Callithrix jacchus: one gene and its partners. The protein of the gene in region 1 purifies or fractionates together with the protein of each later gene. This does not show direct contact. Links are inferred from orthologs where the notes say so. Each region holds a gene or a part of one and is shown on either strand. Other genes may lie near its edges. The genes, in order: TFDP1, E2F3 and E2F2.

Region 1 (3,748 bases):
CCTCCCGTCCTCCGTGGATATTCATTAGGCTCCGGGCTCCTCCAGTGCTCTGCAGATGTTCACCACATTCGGTACACACCAGGCTCTGCCACCTGCTGTGGACCTGAACTTCGGACTCTTCTCTGGCCTCGCCTGCCCTTGGCTGCGGTGCTAGGGTGGGGCCATACAGGGTGGATAAAGTCTCCAGGGCTTGGGGACCACCAGGCTCACAATGCAATGGAACTGTTTCTGCAGTTTTCCTTTCCCTGCTTTCCCTCCCGAGTCCCGGGCCAGGCCCCCTCCAGCGAGCACCCAGGATGCTCAGAATTGTTGGGAATCTGGGCGGAGGCTGGGCATGAGCTTGGAGGCCCTACTGGGTCCAGCAGAGGCAGCGGCCTCTGTGCCACGCACACACACACACCTCCTCTCCTCGGTGTGTCCACATACACACGTCTGTGCACACACCTGCTCTCCATACATGCACAGCCCCACACACAGTCGGCCCTTTATGTGCACACACATTCGCGAACACAAGCGCATACCCTCCGTACCTACAGGCACGCATACACCCGACCCCGCTCTTCCCAGTGCACACACCAGCCCCTGCTCCCCCACCACACACACTCGTGCACACACACCTGACACCCGGCCCCCACCTGCTGCCCCAAGTGCACACACAATAGTGTACACTCATGCACACTCGTGCACAAACCAGTCCCCGCTCTCCCACGTGCACACACACACTCTTGCACATAGCCGTTCACCTCTTTCGCCAGACACACAACGTCACAGGCGCTCACAAACGCGGCCCCTTGGCCTCCGAGCGCACGCCGCGCGCGCGCACGGCCTGTTTCAGCGCAGGCCCCGGCTCCATCGCCGCACGCGCACGCGCACACACGGACACGCGCGCACAGCCCCTCCCCGCTCCCCCAGGGCGCGCTGCACTGGCGGGAGGAGCGGGAGACAAGAGCAGCCGCAGAGGAGGAGGAGGAGGGCACCGAAGGCGCGAAAAGGCGCGCAGGCGCGCTGTGCGGAGCGGGCCCGCCGCCGCCCACGTCACCGCGCCGCGCGCACGTCACGCCGGCCCGACGCTCGGCCAGGGTGAGCCCCGCGTCCCGGCGCCACTCGGCCCAGGGCAGGGACCCCGCCACGGCCGGGACCGCCCGGTCTGGCCCCCGCCCGCGCCTCCCCGCGCCGCCCGGCGCCCCGCGCCGCGCCCTCCCTGCGCCCGCGCCCGCGCGGTCAGACCGGGCAGCCAGGTGCGGGCGGGCAGGGGATGCCGCGAGAGACGCGGGCGGGGGCCAGGGGCGCGAGCGGGACCCCCGGCCGTCCCATCCCGTGCCCTCGCTGTGTATAGTCGCCGCGCGGCCCCGACCCGCGCCCTCCCGCGCCCCGCGCGCTCCTGTGCCCCGGAGACCCCGCGTGCTCGGCGCTGGTTGGGGCTCCCCAGGTGACCGCGGGACTGGGGTCCCTGGGTCCTGCCCTCCCGGCCGACAGCAGCGCCCGTGCCCCGCGCCAGAGGTGGGACCGGGGCCGGAGCCGGGGGCAGGGTCGGCCGGAGCGCGCAGGGCGGGGGAGGGAGGCCGCCCCACGGCGGCCCGCGGGGACCCGGTTCCGGCGCGCGCGGGAGGCGCCTCGTGCGGAGGCGGCCCGAGGCCTAGTGACAGGCGCGCGGCGCGGACCCCGGAAGCCCACCTGTCAGAGTTACCGGTCAGCCGGGCGGGCGCCGCCGGGGTCTGGGTGGACGCCGCGAGCCTGCACGTTGCGCCGGGACCCCGGGGCTGCCCCCAGGTGGGTGGCGGGCCCCCGCCCCCACTGCAGCGGCGGGAGGGAGGCGCTGCGCCCTGGCTGGCGGGGCTCGGCCCCACCCTCGGCCGTTGGGCGGGCCGTCGGGGACCTGGGGGTCGTGGTGGTGACCATGCGGGCCCCAGGGCCACTTTTCCATAGGGGGCATTTCCGACTGGCCAGGTGACTTAAAATCGAGTGTGGGAGTTGTTTGGCCAGCTCTGCTCCCAGGATGGAGGGCGCCTTTGGGAAGGAAGGTCCACGTTTTCTTTGAGATGTGTTATTTTTTTAAACTTCTTTTTCATTCTTACTTATTTCTCGTTTTCCCTTTTTTTTTTTTTTTTTTACCAGAAAAATCATTTTTCTTCTCTGGGAGGGTGAACATTTATAGCATTGATTTCCCGGATCTGGTAACATGGCAAAAGATGTAAGTATGTTTGCTTCATGCTCCACACGAATGTTTGCTTCGCACTAAATTCTTTGTAGTTTGCTGCCTTTATTTCAGAATGATAACACATAAGCTACAGTAGTGTTTATTTTCAGACTTTTAAAGCGTCTGAAGCGGGATGAAGGTGAAAGATGGAAGGATCTGATCTCTGAAGCTGTGCTCACCACCGGCTAGTTGTGGTCTTGGATACCACACTGTGCAATTGGGTAGTGCCTTCGACTTTTTGCTTATCTTTAACGACTGTTAATAATTTTGAATAAACTCCTTAGTTAAATGAGGTGGAGGGCATTGCATCCCCACAGCGAATTCCCCATTTCTTGGGAGGCTTCTACATGCTATGAGGGGTGAGGCCAGGGCTCAGGATGTAGCCACCTGCTGGCACCTGTCTTCCTGCAGAGGAAGTTAATTCCACTTGGGTGGACCAAGTGCTAAGCACTTGTTGTGACCACTTTCTCAGAAGGATGAGATGTGGTGATTTATGAAATCTGGTAAAAAATGGTAGCCTGTTTTATATTTGTCATGAAACTATAGAATATTTTGAATAATTTTTTAAACTTGTGTGGGGAAAGGGGCTTTTAAGGCCAGAAATGTAGTCGGTTTTATTGTCATGCAGTTATTTACCATGCTTTATAATGTCAGTCACTGAAACAGCTGGATTTGTTAGTGTTTTCCACCACGCATCACATCGCTCTGTAACTGTGAGTGAAAGGGACTGTTGATGTGTTTACCTACTTACCATGCAGAGCTGGAAACAGGCCACATGTGCTACCTCTGCCTGAGATACAGCGAAAATGCATCCAGAGTGTAGCGCCCTCCATGGGCGCAGATGTTTCAGTGGTCCCTGCAGGATCTTGTGGGGCACCTGCCCTCCTTGACCAATCACCACACATGTAACACAGTGTCCCTGGCTTTAAGCACTGGGGTCTGCTTTAGAGAATGTGTATGAACACCCAGGTAAACCCAGTGTGGCTTTTTGGAGTCACTTGTATCCTCTCCACTGTGCTTGTACCATGCCCTGACCTTGTGTATGCACGCACTCCAAATCCAGATGTAGGCATGTGCTCCACGTTCTGCAGCCATGTTCATTACGACTCCTCATGGTGAGGAGCTGGGCCTAGGACCTTGGTTAGAGCACGCTTCTGGTGTTGTGTGGTTTCCTGTGTGGTTTCCTGAAATGGTTCTCAAACACACTTTGCTATGTAATGGATGGTGTCTCCAGGGCCCTCTTTTCATCCCCCCTTGATTTCATTGGCACTGTCTGTGAGCAACATGTATCGTAAGGCTGGGGGTGGAGAGCGTACAGAAAGGTGTTTAGGTTCTGCAGGACCCTGAATGCTCCATCCAGTGTGGGCATCTGAGATGCAAGGTTTGTCAAGGACTGCATAGGCACGGGGTGGAGGCTCACCTAACCCTCGAGGGTTGTGATCTGAGTTGGGGGCTGGCGCTGGGAGGAGAGTAGGATTCTACAGATGGCGAGGTCTCCTTCCCTGTTCAAAGCCTGGGAGTGGTCAGGAGTGCTGTGTCTGACTGGAAAGG
Region 2 (3,648 bases), on another chromosome or scaffold:
GATCACTATCGAGATTGTTGAGATAGTTCCCTGTTTTGTACTAAGTCTTCCAAATTCAGTGTTATTTTACACTTACGGCACGTGTCAGTTTGGATGAGCTAGCAAACCAGTGGCTATCTTGGTAGATGGTGCAGGGTTAGCTGGTAACTTTCCACAGAGAAGATGGATATGTCTTCCACTAATAAGTTATTGCTTACATTTTCACATCCTGGGGAGTTGTTTTGAAATTGCAAATCTCCTCATTAGAAGAATCTGCCATAGACAGGGCGCAGTGGCTCACACCTGTAATCCCAGCAGTTCTGGAGGCCAAGGCTGGTGGATCACGAGGCAAGAGATGGAGACCATCGTGTCCAACATGGTCTCTACTAAAAATACAAAAATTAGCTGGATGTGGTGGCGCATGCCTGTAGTACCAGCTACTCCGGAGGCTGAGGCAGGAGAATCACTTGAACCCAGGAGGTGGAGGTTGCAGTGAGCTGAAATCACACCACTGCACTCCAGCTTGGGTGACAAGAGCGAAACTTCATCTCAAAAAAAAAGAAAAGGAGAATTTGCGTGAAAATGAGCCTAAATACGAATTTTTGTGCTGAGTATCTGATTGGTGCCTGACATACGCACACAATTAGTACTTAACAACTGCTTAATTGAGTCTTCTCTCTTGGACTCAAGCCCCTTATCTGTCTTGCTTACCTCTGTTCCCTAAGCCCAACGCCTAGTACCTAGAAGGCCCTATGTGGATGTTTTAAAATTGAATTGTAGTTAAATTAAAAGCTTAGGTAAGGGCTTCTCATCTGCCAGGCTTGGTGACAAAATGGAGAAAGTAATACTGGTTGAAGCCCAAGACTGCATGTTTGCAGTATTTGTTTTTCTGATGAAGGACCGTTTGTAGTCTGTGACTAGTTGTGTTACTATTCAATTACTCTTTCTCTCATTGAATATACAGTATATAGAGAGAGTGATTGAAAATCTACAGAAACCCAGGCTCTGTGCCAAGCATTGGGTATACAAAGATCAATGGGAAACAGTCCCTGCCTTAAAGGAAATGAGAAACAGATAAGTCTTACGGTAATACCTAATAAGTGTCATGATACAAATAAACGCCGAGTGTTTGGGGGTCCGTAAGGAAGGGGTCCAGCCCAGGTCAGAGAACAGGAGATGGGCAGGAGAGAGTCACTGTGGAAAGTCAATTTCAAAGTCCCATGGCGCCTGCGATATTCTTAGCATCCAGCCCCATGCCGGGCACATGATGTGTTGAATCAATGAACAAAGTGACTGCTGAACCTAATGCTAGAGGATCGCCGCGTTTGTCCATCTGGGTGTGGACGGACGATCATGGCAGGTGAAGTGAGTGTGCATGACAGCCTGGCCTCCAGTGCTAGAATCCTGGCTCTAGCGAGTGACAAGATGCTGAGTGGGGTGGAGCAGAGGGGTGAGAGCTGGCACGAGCCCGCAGCATTTGGCAGGCCAGCCCACAAACTGCCTCCCTTCTTGTTCTTGTCCATATGACCGGTGACGAGAGATCGCACTTTCTTATTACAGGCAAAGCGAAGGCTGGAGCTAGGAGAAAGCGGTCACCAGTACCTCTCAGATGGTTTAAAAACCCCCAAGGGCAAAGGAAGAGCTGCACTACGAAGTCCAGATAGTCCAAAAAGTAAGGATCCTTTCATCTCTTTCCTTATTCTCCTCGGTGTGGAATTTCCAACTTTCAAAGCTTATGGCCGGAAGGATGCCAAGGTGTGAATAATTCTGGCATGTTTTGTTCCTTTTCGTTTCTTTCTGTGCTTATCCAAAAAAATAAATACAGTGTCAGCAGACAACCAGCGAAAGGCTACAGAGTCACGCTGGTACCATAAGGGAAGGCTTCGTTTAACTGTATGCAGTTCCATTTTTCAACTCCGAATGCGAGCTTTTGGCATCGTTCTGTATCAAATTTAATTTTAACTTCCCTTAATGGACATTGCTTCAGAGTCTGAGGCAAACTGGATGTCCATGAACTATGCCAGAGTCACTAATGTCTGTGCCGACCTCAATCTCCAGCTCAGCGTATGGAAATGAAAGAATTGATTGAGCCCAATAAATTGCAGGCCGGTTTTCTTTCTATCGAATACTATTACCATTTCTTGTGGGAGAGAGAAACGTAGGCTAGAAATAGCCAAATAGTCCTTTATGTGTGTGTTTGCATTTAACATAAGGGCTAAATTAGATTTTGTTCTAGCTCCTCCTGTAGTTCATGCATTAGGCAATTCACAAATTATCTGTGACACTAAATTAAAACCTTAACCTGTGCACCTGTGGGGGAACAAGTACTATTTTAAATAAGGAAATTTCCTTTAAGAGAGATGGGGAGATTTGGCAGAAGGCTTTTCTAGGTAATTATATCTCAAACTAAGCATTATTTGAAAAATTGGGCTGGGCATGGTGGCTCATGCCTGTAATCCCAGCACTTTGGGAGACTGAGTCAGGCAGATCAGAAGGTCAGGAGTTCAAGACCAGCCTGGCCAACATAGTGAAACCCCGTCTCTACTAAAAAATACCAAAAAAAAAAAAAAAAAAAAAAATTAGTTGGGCATGGTGGTGTGTGCTTGTAGTCCCAGCTACTCGAGAGGCTGAGACAGGAGAATGGCTTGAACCTGGGAGGTGGAGTTTGCAGTGAGCCAAGATCTCGCCACTGCACTCCAGCCTGGGCAACAGAGTGAGACTTCGTCTCCAAACAAAAAGGAAAAGAAAAGAAAAATTGGTGAACAGGTGATACACGCACACACAGATATCAGAGCCTGAAAGGCCATTTGTGATGGGTGTGTTTAAGACCCTGTCCTGCGGTGCTGGTGAGATTCATAGCCTCGCTCCAGCATGGTAGGCCCCATGTGTCCTGGTCCCCTGAGACCACAGCACTCTCATTCATTTGACAGATCACTTTTTAGCACCCACTATGTGTAAATTCTTGATTAGAGCCAGGGACTAGTGTAAGCCAAGGTAGAAACTCTTGAGACCTTCAAGGTAAAGTGCTTTCATGAAATCCTGGCATTTTTACTGTCCCTTACTTTTCTAATAAAGAACTTCCATAGCTTTCCACGACTTGCCGACAACAGCAACGACAGCCGTGCTTCCGATACTAATACTTCGGCTGCAGCGGGAAAGAGCTTGCCTCACTGCAGACACCCTTCATTTCTTCACCTTTCCCCCATCCCCCACCCGCTTGGTTTCTGTTTTTCTTTAAGCTCCAAAATCTCCCTCAGAAAAAACGCGGTATGATACGTCCCTTGGTCTGCTCACCAAGAAGTTCATTCAGCTCCTGAGCCAGTCACCCGATGGGGTCTTGGATTTGAACAAGGCAGCAGAAGTGCTCAAAGTGCAAAAGAGAAGGATTTATGATATCACCAACGTTCTGGAAGGCATCCACCTCATTAAGAAGAAGTCTAAGAACAACGTCCAGTGGATGTGAGTAGGAGCCGTCCCCGTGCCCTGGCTCTGAGGGGGTCACTTCAAACTGCCTCGTTTCTTAGTTCCCGCTTTCACATACATGCCCACACGTTCTTTCTTTTCTCTCCAGCTGTTTTCCTCTCTCTTCCCTCCTCGGCTTCTAAGCCGGAAGGTCGAAGTCTCCTTACAGAGAGACGTGGTTTAGATACTGTCAGAGAGAGAAGGATT
Region 3 (3,648 bases), on another chromosome or scaffold:
GTACAGTGAGCCTATGAAGGAGCTGGAGTTTCAAACATGGGTCTCTGACCTCTGTCCCACTGTCCCAGTGCCCCAGTCCTGCCCCTGCCCTGCCCCTGCCCAGCCCTAACCGGGAGAGAGGCCCTTTCCGGGGCAGTGCAGCTCTGGGCCTAATTGGGGCCCGGGTGGTGACAGGGTGGAGAGGAGCAGATGGGTCTGTGGTTTGATTTCCCCAGCAGGTGTTTCCCAAGCTTGGCGGGAACAGAGAGGGGGATTGGGGAGGGGGGAAGGGGTGGCCTCAGCTGCTTGTCCTTAAGACTTGGGAAGGATTCATTGTCTGCCCCTCTCGGCAAAGAAAGAATGGCAAATGCAGTCTATTCAGGAGGCCCTGGGGCCCTCAAGCTGGAGCCCAAACATTGGGGGTGGGGATGTTTGCACTGCTTCCCACTGTGGGCACCTCCCTGGGGTGTGGCACTGAGCCAGGAAGTCTCCTGGGTCTGGGCGGATGCCCAGCCCCACCCTGATAAGGACCAGCTGTGGGACTGTGATGGGCACTCAGTCTGGCTGGGCCATCTGCTTCTGTATGGGGGGCCTTTCCCCACCCTGATGTGGTTTAGGCCCCACCCACTGCTTCCTCCTGGTATCATCCTCTGGGTGTGGTTGGGTGAGGAGCGGGTGTAGGGGCAGACTTGGGGCCTGTGGTTAAGGAACTCTGAGCCTTTGGCCAGACTGGTTTTGGTAGGGTCTCAAGTGCCTGGGCCTCAGAGGATGAGAGTTTTATTGGCCCTTCAGAAAACAAGACCTCCCCTGAAAGCTCACTTCTCAGGTCATTGATATTTTCCTATCAAGGACAGCAGTGCTTCACCAGGACTGGCAGTAAACTGAGGCACAGAGGTGGCTGCTAGTGGCCTTATCACTTTGGCCCCACATCAGGAAAGGCTAAAGGAGGTATGATTCTCAAACTCTGTCTCTCTCCCACCTCTCTCCCAGGCCAAAAGGAAGCTGAATCTGGAGGGGATTGGGAGGCCCGCCGTCCTTGAGTTCCCAACCCCCAAGGGGAAGTGCATCAGAGTGGATGGCCTCCCCAGCCCCAAAAGTAAGCAGTGCTGATGGAGCCTCAGGGTGGGGTGGGGCAGGGGCAGAGGGCAGCGCCCTGCCTAATCACTGGGAGTCATATTTGGAGCACTTTCCAGTTTACAAAAGATTCCTTTGCATTTTCTCACTTGATCCTGGCAGGTAGGTAGGCCTGTCTCCCTTTACTAATCAGGCAACTGAGACTCAGAGAGCTTGAGTGACTTGCCCACAGTTTCAAAATGGAGTCAGGACTTGAGCCTGGACATGTAAGTCTTGCACTACTTCAGTGTTTTTTTGTTTCGTTTTGTTTTTAATTATTATTATTTTTTTATATAGATGGGGTTTCACCATGTTGGTCAGGCTGGTCTTGAACTCCTGACCTCAGGTGATCCACCCGCCTTGGCCTCCAAAGTGCTTGGATTATAGGCGTGAGCCACCATGCCCAGCCTGTTTTTGTTTTTAGACATGTCTCACTCTGTCGCCCAGGCTGGAGTGCCGTCTTGGCTCCCTGCAACTTCCACCTCTGGGGTTCAAGCAATTCTTCCACCTCAGCCTCTCACGTAGCTGGGATTACAGGGGCATGCCACCATGCCTGGCTAATTTTTGTATGTTTAGTAGAGATGTGGTTTCACCATATTGACCAGGCTGGTCTTGAACTCCTGACCTCAAGTGATCCACCCACCTCAGTCTCCCAAAGTGCTGGGATTACAGGCATCAGCCACCACGACCGGCCAGTCTTGTACCACTTCTACCACGCCATGTACTGCTCTCATGTTCTAAATGCAATGACCAGTGTTTTATTTGGGAATTTATTATTTTTAAAAAGTTTTCATATTTAGGTCAATGTAAACATTTCTGAGAATCCAGCTCAGAGGAGCAGGGGCTAACCGGGTCTTTCTCCCACCTGCAGACAAGGAGCTAAATAAGTGATTCAAAGGGAAGGGCAGTACAGATTGATCCAGTCTGTGCCACCTCAGGTTTTTTAGATTCAGAGGTTGCCCAGGTGGTGCCTTCCTAAAGCTAAGTTGGAGGGGCTTGCTGCCTCTTGATATTTTCAGTCAATATCCTGGATAGGCCAGGCACAGTGGCTCACACCTGTAATCCCACCACTTTGGGAGGCCGAGGTGGGCAGATCACCTGAGGTCAGGAGTTCAAGACCAGTCTGGCCAACATGCCAAAACACTGTCTATACTAAAGATACAAAAACTAGCTGGGCTACTTGGGAGGCTGAGGCAGGAGAATCACTTGAACCTGGGAGGCAGAAATTGCCGTGAGCTGAGATCATGCCACTGCACCCCAGTCTGGGAGAAAGAGTGAGACTCCATCTCCAAAAAAAAAAAAAAAGTTCCTGGTTAGAGTGGGAGTGTAAGCAACTGTGTTTGGGAGGAACACTAGTTTTACAGGTCATTCCTGTAAACCTTAGTTGTCTCGTGTAAAAGGAAGTACAGCTAGATCAGGAATGGCAAGAAAGTTTCCTTTGCATTGACTGGTCAAGGCTGCCCAAAGCACTGTCTTGAAGGATCCTAAGACTCATGATAACTGGTCCTCTTCCAGAGGAACCTAAGACTCTCCAAAACTCAGGTTCCAGAATTATTAGATTGGCCACTAACTTGCAACATGACTTGGAAGTCACTTGATTACAAAAGTCCCCTCGGTTTAAGATGCTTCAGCTGAGATGTGGTCTTGCAACATCAGCCTCATTGAGAAAGGACCTTTTCATGAACCTCCCCACTTGATGTTACGGGACCGATTCTCAGATAATCACTGGGATTCACATGGAAGGAACAGCCAGTGTGTGTCTATAAAGATGTTCTTAAATCCAGGCTTATCATTCCTGTCCTACTCTAATTCCAAACTCCTGACATTTAAGTGGCAGGATAGGGTAATGGTTAAGAAGGAAAACTCTGGAGCCAGATTGTCTGGATTCTAATTCCAGCTTTGCCACTTCCTAGCTGGGTGAGCTGAGCAGATTACTTAAACTGTGCCTCAGTATTCTCATCAGTAAAATGGGATGATTGTACAGCAACCTTATATGGTGTTGTAAGGCTTAAATGTGTTAGTATGTGGAAAGCACTTAGAACAGCGACAATAGTTGTGGGTGGGGGTATGGCGTCTCTAAGCTGTGGTGGAAACGTGCCTTGAACCAGGAGTAAGGACACTTGGCTTCCAACATACCCATTGGCTTTGAGACCTTAAGCAAGTCACCTTCTCTCTTAGGTATTAGGTTCTCTGTCTGGACAGTGGTGGTGATGGGTGCCCTGCCTCACAGTGCTTTGTAAACTGGAAAGTGGGTGGTGAAAGTTGGGACTTGATGAGCCTAGGTCAATGGGCGAGAGTCCTGAGATGGCACTCCCTGAGCTGTGACTGGGTCCCTTTCTTCCTCAGCCCCCAAATCCCCTGGGGAGAAGACTCGATATGACACCTCGCTGGGGCTGCTCACCAAGAAGTTCATTTACCTTCTGAGCGAGTCCGAGGATGGGGTCCTGGACCTGAACTGGGCCGCTGAGGTGCTGGACGTGCAGAAGCGGCGCATCTATGACATCACCAATGTGCTAGAGGGCATCCAGCTCATCCGCAAGAAGGCCAAGAACAACA

The links.
Region 2: the proteins of TFDP1 (region 1) and E2F3 purify together in Homo sapiens (affinity purification with mass spectrometry; 3 studies listed by BioGRID and IntAct, with this or other methods). This does not show direct contact. The link is inferred for Callithrix jacchus from reciprocal best matches to the Homo sapiens genes TFDP1 and E2F3.
Region 3: the proteins of TFDP1 (region 1) and E2F2 purify together in Homo sapiens (affinity purification with mass spectrometry; 3 studies listed by BioGRID and IntAct, with this or other methods). This does not show direct contact. The link is inferred for Callithrix jacchus from reciprocal best matches to the Homo sapiens genes TFDP1 and E2F2.

What each region holds. Positions count from the first base shown.
Region 1 is NC_133502.1:29,048,470-29,052,217, forward strand, and holds the start of TFDP1 (transcription factor Dp-1), read left to right. Parts: upstream 1-1,047; 5' UTR 1,048-1,080; exon of another isoform or gene 1,081-1,500; intron 1,501-1,523; exon of another isoform or gene 1,524-1,947; intron 1,948-2,115; 5' UTR 2,116-2,179; coding exon 2,180-2,191; intron 2,192-3,748. UniProt on the Homo sapiens protein: Can stimulate E2F-dependent transcription.
Region 2 is NC_133505.1:10,309,317-10,312,964, reverse strand, and holds part of E2F3 (transcription factor E2F3), read left to right. Parts: intron 1-1,539; coding exon 1,540-1,651; intron 1,652-3,218; coding exon 3,219-3,438; intron 3,439-3,648.
Region 3 is NC_133508.1:60,278,490-60,282,137, reverse strand, and holds part of E2F2 (transcription factor E2F2), read left to right. Parts: intron 1-969; coding exon 970-1,075; intron 1,076-3,438; coding exon 3,439-3,648. UniProt on the Homo sapiens protein: Transcription activator that binds DNA cooperatively with DP proteins through the E2 recognition site, 5'-TTTC[CG]CGC-3' found in the promoter region of a number of genes whose products are involved in cell cycle regulation or in DNA replication.